Struthio camelus: one gene and its partners. The protein of the gene in region 3 interacts with the protein of the main gene of each other region in a pairwise test. Links are inferred from orthologs where the notes say so. Each region holds a gene or a part of one and is shown on either strand. Other genes may lie near its edges. The genes, in order: TSSK4, CRTC1 and CREB1.

Evidence for each region.
Region 1: the proteins of CREB1 (region 3) and TSSK4 interact in binary tests that used the Homo sapiens proteins (3 or more experiments, as listed by UniProt). The link is inferred for Struthio camelus from reciprocal best matches to the Homo sapiens genes CREB1 and TSSK4.
Region 2: the proteins of CREB1 (region 3) and CRTC1 interact in binary tests that used the Homo sapiens proteins (3 or more experiments, as listed by UniProt). The link is inferred for Struthio camelus from reciprocal best matches to the Homo sapiens genes CREB1 and CRTC1.

What each region holds. Positions count from the first base shown.
Region 1 is NC_090944.1:147,919,848-147,926,954, forward strand, and holds TSSK4 (testis-specific serine/threonine-protein kinase 4), read right to left. Parts: upstream 4,368-7,107; coding exon 4,164-4,367; intron 3,914-4,163; coding exon 3,699-3,913; intron 3,244-3,698; coding exon 2,871-3,243; intron 2,559-2,870; coding exon 2,418-2,558; 3' UTR 2,349-2,417; downstream 1-2,348. Other genes in the region: PPP2R5D (serine/threonine-protein phosphatase 2A 56 kDa regulatory subunit delta isoform), read left to right, coding at 5,093-5,119, 5,857-5,940. UniProt on the Homo sapiens protein: Serine/threonine kinase which is involved in male germ cell development and in mature sperm function. May be involved in the Cre/Creb signaling pathway. Phosphorylates CREB1 on 'Ser-133' in vitro and can stimulate Cre/Creb pathway in cells.
Region 2 is NC_090967.1:5,978,461-5,985,567, reverse strand, and holds the start of CRTC1 (CREB-regulated transcription coactivator 1), read right to left. Parts: upstream 4,166-7,107; 5' UTR 4,095-4,165; coding exon 3,969-4,094; intron 1-3,968. UniProt on the Homo sapiens protein: Transcriptional coactivator for CREB1 which activates transcription through both consensus and variant cAMP response element (CRE) sites.
Region 3 is NC_090947.1:9,436,698-9,443,804, reverse strand, and holds the start of CREB1 (cyclic AMP-responsive element-binding protein 1), read right to left. Parts: upstream 3,731-7,107; 5' UTR 3,343-3,730; intron 1-3,342.

The DNA of each region.
Region 1 (7,107 bases), on a different chromosome or scaffold from region 3:
GAGGAGAGGTCACCCCTAGTCCCGGCAGTTCTCTTGGGTTTATCACCCGTCCTTGTTCTCTTCAAGCTCATTTGGATGCTCCCTTATCTGGCCGACTTACGGTGTCATCTTGCTCCTTTCTTCAAGGCTTCGCTTTGTTAACTATCTATGGAGGACTGAGTCATGAGCTTCTTCCTGGGACCCCGGGTGCTTAGCCAAGCGTTATAGACGATAGTTACACACAGTTACATTCTCAGGTCTTTCAAATGGAATTTCTCACGCAGATACATCACATCCATGTAGAAAAGAAGACATGAAATGGGGTAGAGAGGGAGTTTATTACTGCAAGGCACCTAAATCCATTCTCCAAGCAGGGGAAATGTCTCCCAGGGTTTGAGTTCACTGGCTGGGTCCAAATAAGAATTCATTAAAAATAAACTCGAAGCACAGTGATCAAAGGGAAAGTAGTTCCTCCGTTTTGCAGGCTGCCTGCCCCCAACACACTTTTTCACTTTCGACTTTTACAAAATCACAGCGTTATCACTTCTTAGCGTTTTTTTCTTGTGTAATTCACAGTTCACAACTGCTCATGCCTACACAGGTGTATGCCTTTACAAGAAATCAGGTTTGAAGAGAATAAATGAGGATGCTGACTTTTTCAGCATTAGTGAAGGAAAACTGCAGGTTAGATCGATTTATACACATGAATCAGACACCCGTCAGATGCACAACTGATCATAAATCAGTTATACTGGCTTGCAGAGATGTGTACAATTAAAGGGTTCACATATTATGACCCTGAGGCTAGCAAACAATACAGCTGGCGTTGGCATCAGTTTCCATGTAGAAGGAGATTATCAAATACAGCTGCTTGTTGTCTGCGTTTTCTGTTTGTAACCAATTTCTCTTTCAAGGTGTGAACTCCATTTGAAAGAAGGAGTTAGAGGAGAAAATTGAAGTGGGTCAGAGACACGAGTACCTCATGCTGTCAAGGAAAGGGAAAAAATGGTTCCACCAAGGGCAAGGACAACATTTCACTGGACCTCAGGTAAGGCTGGGAAGCGGTTCACTGCCAAGCAAGCTTTTAGAGGGAAAAGTAAGCAATTAGTTGGACAGGGATGCTCATGCTGTATCAATAAATTCAATTAAAAATACTAGTGGTTTTTTTTTCCTCTTTTGTAAAGTTTCTGGTCAAGCAGCAAGAAACCCCATTCCCTTGCTGTCGAAACGCAGCTTCTCATCTGGAAATTTGGTGCTGCTTTAGGGATACCAGTAGCGCTCTTCCGAGTTTTCTGGTCTTCTGAAATGGTAGCTCTGTGCTCTTACCTAGCATTCAGGCTTCTTGAGCTACTTTGCGCAACTGATTATAAAATCAGCAAAGATAAAACCATTATAGGACTTACATTAATTTAGGTACTTAATTTACAATTTCGATTTATTTAGCTTTGTGGTAGAACTGCTGCGTAGTTTCTGAGCAACCTGTTAAAAACGAATGCCAAAATACCTGTGTAACCTATCAACACGAAATAACGTTTCCTCTGGAACGGGTATTTTCTTCCCAAAGCTGCGCGCAGAAGAGCGATGCCGAACCAGCGAGGGAGGCCCAAGCGCTCAGCAGGCCGGCCCACGCGCCCCAAGGAGCACGCACAGCGGCGAGAGGGACAACCGAAGGCCAGCTGGCCGTTCTTCCGTGTCGGCGTGGCCTTGGAGCACCCGAGACAAGCGCTCGCCGTCAAAGCGCCGACGGTAAGGGGAACGAATCCTCGCGGCGCCCTAAGGCGCCCTGCGGTCTGGGGCCGACCAGGAGTCGGCGGCCGGCCGCTAAGGATCTGCAGAGGCAAGGCTGAAACAGCGGCCGCGGCGCTGCAAGCGGGGCCGCAGCTCTCGGCGCCGCACAGCGGGCAGCCGCGAGCGCGCGCGAGACCCAGCGCCGCGCGTGGGGGCCGCGGGCCGCCCTGGCCCCGCCCCCCGGCCCGGCGCCCCGCCCCCGCCCCGGCGCCCCGCCCCCTTGGCGCCATCTGGGAGCCGAAGGGGGACGTTCCCCCCTTAAGAGAATCCCGGGGCCCCGCCCAGCTGCGCGTGGCCCTTTTAAGGGCCGTCACGTCCCCGGGGTGGGGGGGGGGTTGGCGCTCTCGGGCGAAGTCAGCGGCGGCGGGGCTGGACCATCGCCCGCGGGAGGGGGAGCGGGTCGGGCTGGACCACTGCCCGATGCGGGGGGAGGGGAGGGCTAAACCATCCTGTGGAGGGGGGGTCACCGGAAAAGGGGCCCCCGTTGCGCAGGGCTCGGGGGCGCCCACAGTAAACGGGGAGGGCGCCTCTTGCAGGGCCCCCCCTTACAGGGGTGTCCCCAAGGAAGAAGGGAGCCGAAGGAGGGCTCAAGGCTTTTATTAGAGGTCTTCCGAAGCGGGGGGGGGGTCCCCAAAACTGCGGCTGGAGGGTTATGTCTGAGGGGCCTCTGTGGCAGAGGGCAGGTCGCCCGGGGGGGCCGGGGGCAGGAAGCGAGAGACCCAGGGGGTCTGCAGGAGCTGCCGGGCCGAGAGGCGCTGCGAGGCCGGGCACAGCAGGCGCAGGATCACGTCCTGGGGGACACGGCAGTGGGGGAGGGCCCCGCGGCCTCTCCCGAGGCCTGGAGGGGCCCCCGTCAGCTGGGAGACCCCCGGGCCCCCGCTGCCTCCGGGTGTCCCCCGGCTGCCCTCCGGCCGCCGGCGCGCCTCAAGGCCCTCTAGCTCCCCTACTGCCCCCACGGCGCCCCTCCAGTACCCTCCAGATGGCCCTCGAAGCCCCCCCAGGCCCCCAGCTCCCCTCTGCGCTGCAGAGCTGCCCCCCATCTGCTGCTGCCCCCACGCGCCCTCTAATGCCCCTTGGTGCACCCGGCCACCCCCCAGCCCCACCTTGCAGTCCTGGGGCAGGGGCTGCCACGAGGGGAAGACGAGAGGCTGCTGGATCTGCTGCAGGAGGCGCCGCAGGTTGGTGTCGTCGAAGGGCAGGCGGCCCAGGAGCAAGGCGTAGAGGATGACGCCAGCGCTCCAGGTGTCCGCCAGGAAGGGGTCGTAGGCCTGCGCCTGCAGGATCCTGGGGCAGGCGTAGGCGTACGATCCACAGAAGGTCTGGCTCAGCACCCCCCCAGCGGGCACCCCCCCAGAGGTGGAAGCCCCCAGGGACTCCCCGTTGGCCTCCTCCAGGGCCACCTTCCGGGGGAAGCCGAAGATGGAGATCTTCACGTTGTCCTGGCAGTCCAGGAGGAGGTTCTCCAGCTTCAGGTCCCTAGGGGAAACGCGGGGTGGGGGGTGTCTATGGGGCAGAGGACAGTGTGGAGAGCAGATAAGGGTGCAGTGGGTTAGGTAGGCGTGGGGGCAAACAGAGGCTTTGGAGGTCAGAATCAGGGTGCGTAGGGCAAGTAGGGGACACAGAGATGAGCTGTGGGGCAGATAGGGAAGTTTGGGGGCAGTTGGGGGTCAGATAGGTGGTGTGGGGGCAGATAAGGGGGCTGTGGGGCAGGTGGGGGAAGTGTGGGGCAGACAGGCTGTGGAGGTCAGATATGGGTGGCGTGGGGTCAACAGGGCGGATATGGGGGTTTCGGAGCAAACGGAGGTGTGGGAGGCAGGTGTGGGCTATGGGGCAGAGGGTGGTGCGGGAGCAGACAGGCAGTAGGTAGGAGACAGAGGGGGCCCTCCCCCCGGCGCCGCAGCGGGGACCCTGTTGCCCCGGTGCTTGCCCACCGGTGGACGATGGCCCTGCTGTGGAGGTAGGCCAGGCAGAGGACCAGCTGGGAGAACCAGTGTCCCGCCAGGTGCTCGGGGCAGGGCCCCTGGCTCTGCACCCGCTGAAGGACGTTCCCCAACGGTGCCAGCTCCATGATGATGTAGTACCGCGCCGTGGTCTCGATGGCCTGGTAGAGGGTGATGAGATGCTTGTGGTGCAGCCCCTTCAATACCTGCAGGCAGGGAGGGGCTAGCGGGGGGCAGGTCTGCCCCGGAGAGCCCCCCTTGGATTGCCGCTGCCCCCGCAAAATGCTGCATCTCCTGCACCCAGTGCCCCTGGCCCCATGTAGCTCCTGGATGCCCCCCCAAGGCCCACCTTGTCCCATGGCACCTGACAATGCCCCTGAGCCCCCCTACCCTACTGGCTCTCTCCAATGCCTCTCCAATCCCCCCTGCTCCCCAATGCTCTCCCGTCCCCCCTGCCTGGATGTGATGGGGCAGGAGCTCTCGGAGATATTCCTCCGGTGCCTTTCTTTTGGAGATGACTTTGATGGCAACCCGGGCCTGCTGCCGGCGGGCCACAGCCTTGTACACCTTCCCGTAGGTGCTGTGGCCCAGCATCTGCTCCAGTTGGTAGCTGAACTGCTGCAGCACTGCCGGGGTGGCAAGGGGGGCCGCCTCGGCCATGCCCGCAGGCAGCGAACCTGCCGGGTGGAGCAGGGCCTCGGGGCCCCCCCGGCGGGAACCAGCCCCCCAACTGCTGTGCCCTCCCAGCCCCCTTCTCCTCCTTCCAGCTGCTCCCCTCCGCCTACAGCCCTGGGGGTTCCCCCCCTTGGTGACGTCACAACCTTGGGGATTCCCCCCACTGGTGACATCACAACCCCCAAGTTCCCCCCCCCCCCGGCTGCTGTGGAGATGGTAGATGGGGGGGGGCGGTTGGTTTTGGGGGCGCTCTGAGCCCCGCGGGGCTGTTAATTGGGGCAGGGGCTTAATTCGTGACCGCCGGCCAGAGAGACCGCAGGGCAATTCGGGCAGCAGGAGCCAGCGCGAGACCCCCCGAGAGGGGGAGGGGGAGGCGGCGTTGGCGGGGGGCGAGGGCCGCAGCCGGACCCCGACGGGGAGCCCCGCCGTGCCCCGCCCCCTCCCCGCGGTGGGGGCGTGGCCGCCGCCGCCGCCGCCGCCCAATGCGCGGCGCCGCCGCTCGGCCCGCCCCGGCGCCTGACGGCCAATGAGAAAAAAAAAACCTGCCGCCGCCCAATGAGCGGCGGCGGCGGCGGTAGTTGCTGGGCAGGCATGCGCGGTGCGCCCAATGGGAGCGGGGCGCTGCGGCCGGGCCCGGGCGCAGGCGGCGGCGGCGGCGGCGGCGGGAGCGGCGCGGCGCGGCTGGGCCGGGCCGGGCCCCGGCGCTCACCATGCCCTACAAGCTCAAGAAGGAGAAGGTGCGGCGGCGGCAGGGAGGGGCGGCGGCGGCGGCTCGCCGCCCTGAGGCCGGCCGGGGGCTGCGGCGCGCCCGCCCGCTCCCTCCCTCCCTCCCTCTGCCGCCCGCGGCCTTCCCTCAGCGCGGCCGTTGGGCGGGGGCGCGCGCGGGGCTGCGGCCGGCAGGGGGCGGGGGCGCGCGCCGCGGGGCGGGCGGGCGGGGCGGCTGGTGCAGGAGGGCGGCGGGGGCGCGCGCGCGCGGAGGCCCCGGTTCCCCCCCCCCTCCCCCCCGCCGGTGCGGGCCTGGCCCCGGGCGGCGCGGGGGCCTTACCGGCGTCCCGGGCCCTGCGCGGGGGCGGCGGGCCGCGGCCTCGGCCCTGCCCCAGTCCCGGGGCCGCCCCGGCGAGCGGAGGCCCGGGCCTGTGCCCGGTGCCCGCTGGCGCCGGGGTACCGGGAGCAGGTTGCTGTTGCATAACCGTGCGTAGCGCTGGCCTGCGCTCGGTTTGCACGGCGGCTGGCCGCCCCCCCCCCGGGCGGGCCGGGCCCGGCTCCCGCTCGTTCCCCCAGCGAGGCAAAGGCGGATGCGGCGAGGGAGGGAAGCGGCTCTGGGGGCCCTTTTGAGGAGTTACTGCACAAAACACGACTTACTGCGGAGGCGGTGGGGGGAGGTCTGTGACGGAGCAAAGCGAAGCGATGCCCGGAGAGGTGGAAATTGCTGTGCAAGGTGAAGCGTTCTCTAAGCGCGTTTTCATCGTTCCAGGAGTCTCCAAAGTCTGCAAAAAGCACTGCAAAGCCTGGCAGTGGCAGTAGCGGAAAGGATGGTGGGGCAGAGAATTCAGAAGAGGTAAGGATTTCACTTTGGATGCAGCAGCATGCATGTGCAACTCATCTTTGAGGAAAAATAACCTCCTTCGCTTCACCTACTTCAAGCTGATCTGTCAGATGAGCTATCTCACCAGGGTTTTATGGAATCGCAGACAAGATGGTAGCAAAGGTTAAAGTTAAGATGAAGTTAGTTGGTCCAAGGGGAATGATGGCAATGGAAGAGACAGAATGACTTGGGTGCCCTACAGTCCTGCAAAAAAGAGACTTGGCACAATGCTAAAAGGCAAGCACTGCTCATAGAGCTGGGCAGAGCGTGGTAAAGTTGGCTGCAGAGAGTGAAGAGCTGCCCTTATCGAGAAGGAAGAAGCCTGATGGACTGGAGCAGCTTCCATGCTCCTGTCAGAGCAAAGCAGGGTAAACTGTTGTTCTGTTGTGGCAGAGCAGGAAAGAGGTGAGAAGCAAGGAAAACGGAGCTTGTTCTTTTGAGGCGTTTTCTGGGGGAGTGGGGCTAGGGAATAATTGGTTCAGCATCTGAGAGAATAGGAGTAAACTACTAGATAGGAAACAGTTCTCCTGTGTTATCACAGCCTTCCTGTTGCCGAGCACAGCATTGCTCACAAAAAGGGAGGGTCTGCATTCCCACCTGCACAGAGACACCCTTCTGATCTCAGTTTTGATGCTGCCAAGCTACCTGCGTCAGGGCTGCTTCAACAGAAAGTGAGACTGTGATTAGCTCTGCTAAAGTTGGTAGAAATTTGGGTGAACCAGAGCTTTTCTGGTAGTCTTTGAGTTTATCTAGCATTTAAATGGTGTGGTTTTGGATTCTGAGACTTGGCTTCAGCACAGTGCCGTATGTATGTCCAAGGAAGCGCCTTTTTTTTTTTTTTTTTAAATACCGCAATTTGGCAAACAAGCTGTGCCACTTTACATCCGTAGAAGCCTGTGTGCTCAAGACGTGCTTGGAACATGTTCTGATTGGGAGAACCAGAGACAGGAGATGTGTAAGGCTGATGAAGACTAGGGAGAAATCTGTAGTTCAATTGGACAGCTGTAGTCAAAGTAAGGTTGTCCTACGGTCTCCTTGAAAGCATGTTGCAGAGTCTGAGATAACATCCCTACTACTAGCCACTCCATTTCAAGCTCTAAGCTGTGCTCATGCCTAACCTGCTGTGTAGCCAGAAGAGTC
Region 2 (7,107 bases), on a different chromosome or scaffold from region 3:
AGATAGAAACAAATACAAAAGCAGAGCAATTGTTTCACTCATAAGTACAAATTCCGAAGAGACGTGTGCCTGTGCGCATATATATATACACACACATATATAATACGCATATGAGTACAAACTATGAATTTTTTCACTTGATTTTCATTTAATTTCACTTCAGTTAAATGGCTATATATGGATAGCTATGCTTTTATAGTATATTCCATTTAATCTTGAAAAAATTAAACTAAAATTGGATCTTCATATTCAGGTTTAAAATATGAACGCTGACTTTTTACTCAACATAGATTTCAATAAATTGAAAAAGCAACACAGGCATACACAACTTTTGATAACACCTAAAAGATGCAGGCAAACACTGTCAGGCAGCACCACGTAGACTGACAGGGCATTGAATATGTACTTTGAAACACAAAAACCACATTGTGTGTCAAGGAGGAATATACCTTCTTAGAGGTCCTCTTAAGAGGAGTGCTGTTATGAGTAGGAAGGCTCACCGAAACACCTTCCACAAGTTGCCTGCGTGGGGGCTTCGCATACATGAGAAGATTATACAAGCAGTGCTGGAATTTTGCAGAATATTTCCAAACATTACCATTAACCTGATTTGTTTCCCTCCCCCTCTACGTTCCAGCCATCACCAACAGCAGCACAGCTCTCCAGCCAGTTTGGGGGTGGGGGGTAACTGGGGGCTCAGGTGTTTCAGGGTCAGGGGCTTGAGGAAGGAGGGGGGGTCTTTCTCTTAGGTAAATCTGCAAAGTCCATAAGAGGGAGCTCAAACACAGCTCTGGCTCAAATCCCTCAAAACCAAGTGACTTTAACAATATATAAAAGAAAAACTGGAGTCTTGAGAGCATTTCTAACTGGATAAGAATCACCTTAAAAATGCAGGTCACAAGCTGTGCCCAAGTTTTTTTTAAAATCTTGAACTCTCTAGCATTTGAGGAGCCATTTGTGGTTACTCAACACTATTTGTGCTATCTTGTATGTTAGTGTTTTGTTAAATACAATTTTAGAGGGAGCTACAGCCTTGCGTAAGGAAATAACATGCAATGTAGCAAGCATCACTGGGCTCTGCTGAGAGCAGGCCCTGGTAAACAACCCATTCTTGAAACAGAAATCAGCACAAGAAGATGTTCCAGAAGTTCGTGCTTTAAACAACAACGGAAAGGAGCAGGCCCATAAGCACAATATAGGAGTCAATGTCACAGAGAAAAGAACTCCTCCTCTTTTCAGCTACTTTGTCACTATGGGACTCCCAGAAACCTCTGGATTATAAACATCAAGGTCCCGCTCACAAGACAATTAGCCAGATCCAGTGCTTCTATCAGCCACCCAGACTCTTTCCAAGCTCTGTCTCCCCCAGAAAACCTAAAATGCATTCTTGAATTTGCCGGCTGAAAGATGGGACTCAGGAGAACATCTCTGAAATCAAAGTGATCTAATTTTCAAGGGAAATTTTTTTCCATGAGTATGGTGAGGGTAATAGAGAAAAGAGGAGTTAATATCACGCTCTGCTTTATACCAGGCAAGAAAGATGCATCATAACTTAAAAATCTCAGATGGACTGAACAACATAAATAGGTGGAAGACTACCAAGTCAGAAAGAAAGCTCAAAAACATGTGTATGCACAAGAAATGGTGGAACAGTAGTTCTCTGCCGCTGCTATGACCAGTAACTAACAATAAAACAGACAAGATGGTAAACATTGCAAAAAGACAATTACTAATAATGAAAAGGCAACAGAAATTTTGGGCTGCTTCCACAAACTGAGTAACGCATTTTCAAACTGACAGCAAAGTGTTGGTTGCCAAATGAAAATGAGAGCAAAGTTGTGCTTAACCCCTTTTTGCTTTTATACTGCATTTTGAACACAGATGAAATCATGGAATTTAGAAGAAAAAGTCTACAAAGGAGACATTTTATTCAGCTATTTGGTCAGTATTTCCATCACTTCAGTACCCAGAATCCTCAGACAACTTATTCATCTTGGGTCCTTTCTCAATACCAGGTTCCTGAAAATAAGAGGAGTTTCATCTGCCAAACTTAGATTAGGAATGCTCAGCTTGGGAGAACCTGAACTAGGATTCTGACATATGAACCTCCTCACCCTGAAGAAGGTGAATGCTAAACAGTAAGAGTTAATTAAAGGACAATCTGTAATTGCAGATGTCAAGAACTCTCTCCCTTAGAAATATCCAGCTCTTGAGTGGTATCCAAGGATCGATGATCAAAAGGCTAAAAACCTGAGGTACTGAGCTACACAAGTATAACAGGTTCAAGAAACAAGGAGAGTCCAGCAACTGCAAACGTTCACTGAATTGTTCTCAGCATGCTCTCAACTGTAATAGTAACTACAGGCAGCATCCTCTGTGAAATATCAACAGTTTAGCACAAACAAAGCTTCAACCTTACACCTTACCAAGCCACACTGACAGAATTAGCATGCCTTTGTTTTGTGTCTGACCAGCAGCAGCATGAATGCAAATCAAATATTTACCCTATTCTGACACAGAGGAATAAAAGGAAACATTTTACTGCAAATTCAACTCTGTTCTCTTGTTCCCATTCCTGCGAGCATGCAACCACAAACAAGCTTGTAAATTTTCTTTAAACAATTAAAACAGAAACAAAAATATTGACACAAGCAGGTGAGACAAGAACCATATAGAAAAGCTCTGAAACGCAGACCTAAACCAGAAAACGCATCTGAAGTTTGGGAAAATGCATTTATTACACCACTAAGCTCTAATGAAGCAGTTTGCAGAGACATTGTAAGCCGAGAACAATTTGGAAGTGCAGCAATTTGCACCGGTGACAACTGGAGTATAACAGGAACAACAGCAGTGACACTAAGCCCAGCAGCTCCCTCAGCGTCCCCGCACGCCCGCAGGCGCTTTCTCCGCACCCCGCACGCCCCCCGAGCCAGGACGGCGTGGGTTTACCTGCAAGCAGCTTGGGGCAGGGACCTCAGCCGGGCGCTGCACTGGCAGGGCAGGGGATGCTCCAGGCCGCGCCGAGGGAAGCGGCCCCCGACACGGGCAGGAGTGAGGCTGGAACTCCCCCCCTTCCCCCCCCAAAATCTGGGTCTGTCCCAGGGGAGAGGAGCTCCCCACCACCACACGCTGCCTTGGGGCAGCGGGTCCTGACCTGGGCTTCTCCCAGCGGAGAAGTGAGGGGGTTCCCCTGCCCGTGCCTCGGGAGAGAGGGGCCCCCCCAGAACCACACCTGCCACAGGGCAGCAGGGATACCCCCCCTCCCAAAATCGGGGCCTGCAATAGGGGAGCAGGGACACCCCCCCCTCAAAAATCAGGGCCTGCAATAGGGGAGCAAGGGCAACCCCCCCCAAAAATCAAGGCCTGCAACAGGGGAGCAAGGGCAAACCCCCCCTCAAAAATCAGGGCCTAAAATAGGCGAGCAGGGACACCCCTCCCTCAAAATCGAGACCTGCAACGGGGGAGCAGGGGCAACCCCCCCTCAAAACCGGGGCCTGCAATAGGGGAGCAGGGACACCCCTCCCAAAACAAGGGCCTTAAATGGGGGGGGGGGCAGGGACAGCCCCCTCCTCTCCCCCCAAAAAACAAGGCCTGAAACGGGTGGGATGGGGGGGCAGGGAGCCGCCTCAAAAACCGGGGCCTGCCCCGGGGGCAGCGGAGAGGGCACCTTCCCCCCCGCCGCGGGCCGGGCCGGGCGGCGGCAGGTGCCGCTCTGCGGAGGATGCTGCGGCCCCTCTCGGCCCCGGCCGCCCCCGCCGCCCCCCACCCCGGAGCGGAGCGGGGCGGAGGGCGCCAACTGCCCCCGCCAGGGGGCGCTGCCCCCCCACCCGCCCGCCGCGCCGCTGCCCCCGGGGCTGAGGGGAGCCGCGGGGGGCGCCGCCCCTCCCCCGCCCGCCTCCACCTCCGCCTCCGCCGGGGGCGGGCGGGCGGGGGGGGGGGAGGCGCGGCGGGCGGCGGCGCTCGCTCACCCTGTGGGCGCGGGTCAGGCTCAGGTCCTTCATGACCTCCTCGAAGGCCGCCGTCTCCTCCGCCTGCTTCTGGTTGTGCAGCGCGATCTTCTCGCTGAATTTCCGCGGGTTGTTCGAGGCCGCCATCTTCCCCCGTCCGCATCCCCCTCCCCGCGCCGGAGGGGGCGAGGCGCATGCGCCGGGCGGGCAGGCCGGGCGGGCGGGCGGGGGTGCGCAAGGCGCCTGCGCGCCGGCGGCGCCGGGCGGGAGGGAGGGGGTGGCGAGGCGGCGGCGGGGCGCATGCGCGAGGCCAGCGGCGGCGCGAGCGGGAGGAGGCGGGCGACGCTGGAAGCGGGAGGCGGGGGGGGGAGGCCAGAGGCGCGGGGGCGCATGCGCGGAAGAGGGGCTTCCCCCGTGGACGTGCGCGGGGAGCGGGCGCGCATGCGCGTTGCGCGCCGGCCGCCCTGAGGTGATGCCTCGCCGCCGGCTGCCCCCGCGTCCCGCGGCCGCTCCGGGCACCTTCGTCCCCTCTTTTTCCTGAAATTTCCCATATTCGTTAATGTCCCCGCCCCGCTCGTGGTAGGGGAAACCCCCCTCTGTGCTCTGCGTAACGCAGGGAGCCTGGTAACGGAGCTGGCTGGAAAAGGTGATGCTAAAAGTGGAGGGGGGGGTGATGTGAGTGTGCGCCCCCAACGAGCACTCGGCTATCACACTCCTGCCCTGAAGTGGGGAATAAATCTCTTAAAACAAAAAAAAAAAATTAAAGTTTTTAGCCGGCAAGTTAAAAATCTCAACTTTTCCCGTTTCCTCTTATTTTTCCTGTCTGTGGAGAGGTCAGTGGTTTATTTCAGTGGGCTTTTTCTTCAGACGCAACCAGCTATTCTCTCAGCTGCTCGCACACATCAGGCCCCTGTTGAGACACGGAGTGGAAAAGATACCCAGCTCCTGCTCAGCCGCCTGCCAGCGCTCAGACGGAGCAGTAGAGAAGGAAAAGGAGAGGAGAACGAGAATTAATGAGCGAGTCTCTTAAGCAACAGTTCCTGCTCTCTGGTCGCTGCCTCTTCGTGCAACAGAAGACATGTGAAGCTGTAAGAAAAGTGATGTATGTACAGCAGAAATTTAGTCGCAAGATACTAAGGAAGTGGGTTCCTGGCAAAGGTTTGGGAATCAGAAAAGGCTTCTGTTTCCCTAGGACGTTTCAGTGCGATGTCCAGTAGCAAGAAGATGCTACCACAGTGCTGTTGTAAACGACACAGAGCAAAACGTTGCATTCTTCCCGTGCAAGCACGCTTTCACTGGCAAAAGTCCTCCAAGCGTGTGCCGCTCCTCCCGCTTGCACCTGCATCTGCCCCTCTCCCGTGCTATTCTGCACACACAGCTCTACCAGGACGTGGAGCCAGGGCACCAGAGCCTTGAATTTCCACCCCGAGCGGTCAGGACCTTGGACGACAGAGCCGGCAATGTGTGGGACGCGGTATATCTGGTGTAAGGACAGGACGACAGGCAGCGATGACCCTGCCGGGATGCGTGCGGGCAGTTCCAGGGAGCGCAGACATTTCAAAACACAAGCTTAGGCTGCTAAGCCACCGATTCCAGCTGTGTTCGCATCAGATTGGTGCAAAGCACTGTGATATGCAAGCCACACACATTAGACACTAATAAATCCTGACAGTACTGTTTCCCAACACCCACGCACTGGCCTTTACACTTTCTTTTTTTATGAAGCAACAGAGGTAAAGCGGGAGCTCTTCTTTTTCAGTGATGACTCTGCCCCTGAACAGTGCTTACTCCAGTAACTGAATCCTCTAATGGTTGAACTGTCAGATAAAGAAATTAGACTCTGCTCTCTCTTCTACTACTGATCACCTCAGTGGCCTTGTTTTAGTCAGTTTACCAGTCATTTATAAGCATTTCCTGCCCACCTAAGAGATTATAATTATCCACCACTGCAAGGCTGTTGGAAGATGGATGGATGAAACTCAGCGCAGCACCAACTGTCAGGACTAGTGCTAGCAACAAAGTCGCATCCTACCCTAAATCCTAGTTGCCAATTTGCATGTAAAGTGTTTATAAAGTGATAAGAGATACCATCGCAGAAAGCACAGCTGAGACGTGAAAGATCATCTAGGCCACCCCCTTGCAGGATCAGCCATACCCGTGTCATTCCTGACAGACGTTAGTCTAGCCTCTTGCATTGCTTACCAGGAGTAAACAATCAGCACGCGTGTTCAGTTAAATACTCGCTAGCTGTGTACGTGAACAGCATTTGACCTGCAAAACTGGCCTGTCATGCTAAAAGCATGTAGTCTTAAGATTAACACCAAGATACCCTTCAACTAAATTGTTTTTTGCTTGACAACTGGGAGGAAGATAAATTATTTGTTAAGTTATCCTGGATTTAATACTATAGGTGATAATATCAAACATACTCTAGATCCAGCTGTCAATCTGCCTTTTTTAGCACCAAAAGATTAGGTGTCTAAGATGAGACTTGATAAATTTTCCTCTCTTGGATCTCCGGAGATTGAATAGGGAGTGAAATCTCTCCTCCGACGGCTACTCCTGTTCTTGGTTCACAGGGAAGGAACACAGATGGCCAGGGAGGGAGGGGGGCTACAACTTCCTCCCTCTAGAAGACTCCCTTTTCTTATTGTTTTGCCTGTCTTGCTTTATCAGATTAAATTCCAGAGTGCAACCTGGATCCCGCTGCTGTTCTTAAATCCTTTGATTTTAAAACAATTTGCTTAATAAACTTCTCTTTAATACAACATTCGTGTTGGCTGAGCCGCTTCTGGAATTTCTCACCCACTCACAGCTCTGCATTTTGGGGTGTGGGTGGATCTGAATGGCTGCTGAGTGCATGACCTAGCAGACAATATAAATCTTGACTGCATTAAGGCATTGGCAAGGAGACATTTTAGATTGGTGCCAGGTTTCCTCCTTCCTCCACCAAAGGAGATATGCCATGCATTTGACAAAATGATGAGCTCATACCATAAGCATTATTTATGTCTCCTCCTGTTTTCACCTTGCGCACATATGGGGCCATGTGAGAACAACTTGATCTCACTAGAAAGCTGTTATGGGATCCCTTGAGACAGCAGCTTCTATCTCCCTCCGCCTTCCAGACATGTGTTATGAACAAGTTTCTCATAACGGA
Region 3 (7,107 bases):
AAGCACGTCTTCACCTTCTCCACAGCTCACAAGACTGTTCTATAAACGTGCAACAACAGAAGGTGCAGCGCTTACTCTCACTCACTTTTTTACTTGTGGTACAATCAAGTGGTCTAAAAGCTTAAGAATAAAGTAGGTATGAACAACTTAACAGCTGGGAGAAGTGAAAAGAAAATCACTAACCGCTGAGAGCGCTCAGATTTTCATAATCACCATGAAACGTGACCACATAGACTGCAGATGAGGCAACATAATTTTTGATTTAGAGAAAAAAACTTCACTGAATGGTCACGGAACTTCAACCGTATGCAGAGAGGGCACCGGAGAGCTCAAACCAAGCCCAGGAGGGCTGTTTTTGTTGATGAGGATTACTGTCATTTTCCATGAAAATAACTTTAAATTACAGGCAGAAAGCTAGCTAGGCCTTCTCACTGCAAAAAAGCCTTGAGAAGTGAGGCATGAGTAACTGATCTCCACTTGCTCACAGAGATCCTAAAATAGAGGTGAAGTGTGAATATCCCGTTTGTTTCACACGGGTGTCAACAGAAATTCCTAGGCAGGGCCTTGTCTACTACCAAAATTTGCACCTCGAGAGCTGTAGCTGAAGCTATGCAAGAAGAGGCTGTTTACTTCTTACTGCAGCAGAACAGCTACTTTCCCGATTAAGATAAGGTACCACAGAATATTTTATATTTGATACCAGTACCAGCAATAGCTGCACTGGTGTTAAGTTTCCAGGAAGCAGATAGACTGATGACTTGACAGTCTAAATTAGTTGTTTCTGAATTTTTTGGATCAACAGACCTTTCTCTCCTTTCAGACCTTTCCTCTCCCCTGGGGTAGTAGGCACCCTTACACTTTCCTTTCCAAAAAATATGGGAAAACAATGGGTATTTAATACAGATCAGATGCAGACCACTTATTCCAGACTTGGATACAAAAGCTGAGAGTACTAATCTGAACGCCAAATATTACTGGTCGTTCCACCAATGAAATTTAAAAAAACGTGAAGAATTATTATACTCTACTTTCCTACATCCAAACAGTATTTCTTTTTAGGTCACCCATAAGCTATGCTTGACAAATACACCATTACCTTCCTGCTCTCTTTTCTCTCCTGTCAGTGAGGATACAAAGTTTACAGGGAAACGCAGGGAAAGAGTTAGAATATGTTGATGTGAGAGTCCTGCGCTCTATCATGAAATAGAATGGTTTGGGGATAAACAAAATGTTATGTTTCTAAAGCTACAAAATAACGACATGCAAAGGTTTACTGTCACATTTTTGTATTTAAAATGAAGTGAATAGTCCATCAAACCAAAAATGAATGAATTACACCAAACACTATGTTCTGTTTAATCACTATCAATGGCTACATTGCTCACTGAAGTCCACAGATGTCTATTAATCAATTGCAACTTTAGAAACCCTCTTCTCACGTTGGTATTTTTCAGAGTGAAGCGATGTAGAACACCTTGGCTTTCTTTTCAACAGAAGTGGTGGAAACGACAGAGAACAAATTCCACATGCGAGAAAGGACAGGCCTATCTAGACACTTACACAAATCGCACATGCCCATCTTGAATAAAAGAAGGCATTTCCGGAACTTCACCTTTTAGAGTAAAAACCTACGTTTGATGACACAGGGAAAGGGAGAAGCAGAACTTCAGGAGCTCTAGTATTTCAAAATATAATGCTTGGTGGTTACACTGGAATTGAAAAGAGATATTCAGTATTTTCAAATAAGTTTCTAGCCTTTTATTTAAGAGTTAGGAAACTAGTTCTTGAGGGGAGGGGAAAAAAAAAACCCAAAAAAGTGTTTTTGGAAGAAAAAGCCACATGACCCATATTTTTTTTAATCCTTGCATATACTTTTGACAGGCATAAAAAATTTTAGTTAAAAATACGTTTTTAAGAGAGATTGCCAGAGCATTTTCACTTATTACTGTGCACAAAGATGCAGAAATCCAGGCTTTGCAAGAGTAAATAAGGTCAAAACAGTATCTTCTATGCTAGACAATAAAGGGGCGGGGAGGGAAAGCCCCCCAGCGCAGCAGTCAAAGGCAAGGTAGGACTGGTGGAACGTGGCAAGGACAGTTTAGCTGACATTTGCTATTAAAGCACTGATAGAGGTCAAAGCCTGCTCATTTGTGCAGCGCTGAGGAGTCTGTGCAAAACTGGCAAGAGCAAACCCCAAACTGAGATTAACCGGTCACCGCCAGGCTCAAGTTCACTTTCAGTTAAAAATACTAACAGGAAAGAAACACGCTGCAAAAAGGAACCGTATCTTGGTTATGCGATCTGAGCGTCAGCCTTAAAGATCTTCCCTCCTATATTTTAACGGCAGGCGGTGTTGGGTGACCGAGTAAGTTCGCCGGTTTTACAGCCCTCCGCATACGATCATGCCCCCGACACTTCCAATGAAAGTAAACCACCAAGTCAGATGCCGGCCCAAACTTCAGTGCACGGTTTTTATTAAAAACTTCTTGTTACAGAGCCTAAGAGAGCACGTTACAGCGCCTAGGAGCACCCCGCGTGTTTTGTTGTCGGTGGTGGTGGTGGCGGTGGGAGGGGTGTTTTCTTTTTTGTTTTTGATTTGTTTTTAATCGCAGGAGTTTGTTTATTGACACAGCACGCTCAGGTCGCCGGGTAGTGAAACTCTGGGGAAAAAGAAGGGGCAGCGGGGGCGGGTGGGCGGCCGAGGCGGCCCCGGCCAGGGCTGGCGGCCGGCAGCGAGCCGCCGAGGAGGCCGCGCTCGCCCTGCGCCGGCCACAGCCAGGCGAAAACAAGAATTAAAATAAAATTAAAAAAAAAAAAAGAATAAAGAAGACGACCCGTGAGGAGTTGTGTGGAGGCGGTGTGGTGGTGGTTGGGGGGGGGGGGACAGGGGCCGCCACCCCGCCGCGGAGGGGGGAGAGGGTGGGTGTGCAGCCGCCGCCGCCGGCGGCACCGCCGCGGCCGTCTCCTCCTCCTCTCTCCCCCCTCGTCGTCTTCCTCCTCCTCCTCCTCCTCCTCGGGGCCGGGGGGCGCGATCCCCCTCTCCCCGCCGCGCTGAGCGCCGCCGCTGGCTGCCGCCAGAGTCGCCGCCGCCGCCGCCTGGCCGTGGCGGCCGCCGCCGCCGCCGGGGCCGGCTCCCATCCGCCATTATCCTTTGTTCGCGGCGCGGCGGCGGCGGGGATGTTGCAGGGCTCGGCTCCATCTTTAAAGCGGGCGCCCCTCCCGCTGGCGCTGCAAGGCCGGGCCCCCGCGTCCTGCCGCCCGGCGGCTCCCCCTGGTCCCCGCCGGGCTCCATTTCCTTCCCTCCCCCCCGCCCCTGTTTGCTGGGCGCCTTCCTCCTCTTACCGGTTACCAGGCTGCTCCGTCACTGCTTTCGTTCGCGCCTAGGATCTCGCCGCAGTTTTATTCTCTCCCCCACGTAACACACCGCGTCAAACTACACCTCCGCCGCGTCACTCACACACACACAGGCGCTCCCAGCCCGGCGACAGGCAGGCAGCGGCCGACTGAGGAGCGCCAGCCAGGGAGCAAGCGCCGAGAGCGCCGCGGCCCCGCACGGAAACCGCCGAGCGCTCACGGAAACCGCCGAGCGCGCGGCGGGCGGCGGGAACGGCCGAGCGCGCCGCCGGCCCCCGCGGAAAGAGCCGAGCGGCCGCGGAAACGAACGAAGCGCCCCGCCGGGGAGGCGGAAAGAGCCGAGCGGCCGCGGAAGGCGCGAACGCCGCTTCCGCCCGCGGCAGCCCGCGCGGGAAGCGCCGAGCGGGGCCGCGGCGGGGAGGGGGGGTGAGGGCTCCCGCCGCTCCCCTCCGTCCTCCGCGGGCGCGGTGGAAGGGGCGAGGCCCCCCCAGCACACCCCGACCGCCGCCCCGCGCGTCGGGAGAGGGGCGCTCGTCGCCTCCCCGGCAGCCCAGCTGCTGCTCTGTGGCGCTGTCCCAAACCTCCCAAAACTCAGCCCCAGCGGGCCCCCCCGTCCCCGGTTCTCACCTTCCGGAAGGCTTCCAGCCGCCCCTCATGGTCTCCACAAGCACGAGGTGGCAGACATCGTCTCCACAAGCACGACATGGCGGACGTGGTGTCCGCCAGCATGACCTGGCAGACGTGGTCTCCACAGGCACGACATGGCGGACGCGTTCTCCGCACAACATGGCGGACGTGGTGTCCGCCAGCACGACCTGGCAGACGTGGTCTCCACAGGCACGACATGGCGGACGCGTTCTCCGCACAACATGGCGGACGTGGTGTCCGCCAGCACGACCTGGCAGACGTGGTCTCCACAGGCACGACATGGCGGACGCGTTCTCCGCACAACATGGTGGACGTGGTGTCCGCCAGCACGACCTGGCAGACGTGGTCTCCACAAGCACGACATGGCGGACGCGTTCTCCGCACAACATGGCGGACGTGGTGTCCGCCAGCATGACCTGGCAGACGTGGTCTCCACAAGCACGACATGGCGGACACGTTCTCCGCACAACATGGCAGACGTGGTGTCCGCCAGCATGACCTGGCAGACGTGGTCTCCACAAGCACGACATGGCGGACGTGCTCTCCGCACAACATGGCGGACGTGATGTCCGCAGGCACGACCTGGCACACGTAGTCTCCACAAGCGCGACATGGCAGACATGCTCTGCACACGACATGGCAGACGTGGTGTCTGCCGGAACAACCTGGTGCACACAGTCTCCACAAGCACGACATGGTGGATGTGCTCTGCACACAACATCGCGGACGTGGTGCCATCCTGAGGCCTCCTTGCTGCCCTGGCGTTGCATGGGCTCCTCTCACCCCTCCTCAACGCTCCATGGCCTCCGCCTGGCCTCCACCCAGCCCGGCCTCCCCATGCCCTCTCAACGTGGCAAAATGCCCATATGTGTCCCTCAGGCTGCTCCTCCAAGCCTGGCTCTTCCAGCTTGTCCTTGCGGCTGCCTTGCAGCTCGCTCTGGCGCCGTGGCCAGCCGGGGCGGCCCCACGAGCAGGTGGTGCCGCCGCAGCTCACAGGCGCGGGGCAACACTCCCACCACCATAACACCAACACTGCCATGAAGTCCCCGAGCTCCATGTAACCAACCCTCCCTGGCCGCCATCCACATAACCAACCTTCCCCAACTGCCACGAGAAGGACGAACGCTGTCTGCCCAGCCAGGCGACAGAGCCGCAAATCGTGATCTTCAGAGCAGCCCCTTCCCAGGCGAGGGTCCACTCCTGCCGGTGCCACGTCTGCGCTTCATCGCCCTTCCTAGAGAGATAGATTTCACCAGGACGGGGACCCCCAAGTGATGGGGTGTGGGGACGGGGAGAGGCACCCGGCCTGGCTCTGACTTCGTGGGGCCCAGCCTGGCACCCTCCACGCTCTAGTGCCCTCCACACTCTAGTGGCCTGCACGCTCTGGTGGCCTCCACGCACTGGTGACCTCCGTGCTCTGGTGGCCTCCACGGTCTCTCCGGGACGCAGCAGGGAAACCATCCAGCTGCTCTCGCTGGGCTTTTCCTCTGATGGTCCCGCATGGGGCATGGGGCATGGGGTGGGGGGACACCTCGGGGCAGGGCACGTGCTATCTGGCACCGCTTTGGTTGGTCCCGTTTGGTTGCGGCCAGAGGGAGAGCAGCTCCCTGTGCCCGTGCAGTGGGGACATCTCCGGCGGGCAGACGGGCAGATCTGGAGCTCGTAGGACCAATTAAAAACTACGTGTAGTTTTGAAGAAAGTCCATTTTGTTCCAGGAAACCTCGAGATGGCACTGCATGACAAGATTTGAAGCTCCAGATGCCGTTCATTTCAACCACCGGGTCGTTGGCGCGTTCCTCCAGGGCTGCCTGCCGTTATCGCAAGACGCCGCTGCACGGCAATAACCCGCCCAGGTGGGCCCTGCAGAGCCCGCCACTTACACCACATCAAAAGACAGTGTTGCCCACGTGAATCTAGTCTTGTTCTTGCTGAGTCTTGTTTTCCTCAAGAGGGTTGAACTAGTTTTATTGAGAGGGAGTTTCATCCAACTCCGTCAAAAAATCGAAAGAGATGATGCAGACAGCGACTACGGGCTTGCTCTGCTTTTGGCTTTGTTGATTTCAGTTGTTTGAAAACAAACTGAAATAAACCGTGTCTGACATTTTTAAAACAAGCAGCTCAAGTTGGACTGATAAAAAACTGTTTTGTTGAAAACACATAATATGGCTGGGCCACACCTCATTTTGCACTTTTATTGCATTTTTTTCTGTCTGAGCTGTCTGCAAACAGGAGCTCCAAGTTTGCAGCATAGCACAGTAGAGCGTGACCTTTTCTCTCCCTCATTATTTTGGACTTGTGTTGCTCCTTTGATTAATAGCTGATCCTGTCAGCAGCGTACGGCTAAAATCACTCCTAAAACTACTGTACGTCAAGGAGTGGTTCTGAGATCAGAGCGTAAAGGCTCAGCTGCCCTTGTGCTCCTCTTATGGGGAGTAAAGTACTTTATATAAGAAAATATTTAGAATGCGCAGAACAAATTTAGCTGTCTGAGTGTCTCTTGCTTGATTCATGCGTTAATTTATCCTTTTTTCCCCGTTCCCTCTCCTTCTTTCCAATTCTCTGTTAATGTTTCTGTGTTGCATCAGTTTTGTTGGCTCCCCAAATGACCCAAACTGTGTACGTTCTCCACGCAGGCACATTTCCCAGAAGTATGTGACTCGCCTTCTTGCGGGAAGCCTGAAGAATCACAGCGATAAGCGCTCGGAGAGAGTAAACTCCAGTCCTTGAAAGGCAGCTAAAGTGCACTAACCCAGTCTCAGTGAACAGCTCTCCTCAGCAGCCTGAGCCCGAGCTCGGTCTGAGCCAAGAGAGCGCAGCTGATGGGGCTGCGATACGCTGGGCTCCCGGAGACCGGCAAGGGCTGCTGCTATGTTGTCAAGCAGTTCTCTGCGCCGTTTTGATCCTGCTCTTCATTTCAGGCATTGCTAATAATCTGGCATCCTGCTGGTCCTTCCCAGCCCTGCTCTCACCCATCGCTTCTGGGCTGACTCCTTCTCAGTCGTTCTCTTAAAGTCTTTCAGCTCGCTGACGAGCTTTACAGGTATCTTGCAGGGGTGTCTACTTCCCCACCACCCAGCCTGGGCTCCCCTTTTGGCAGACAACTC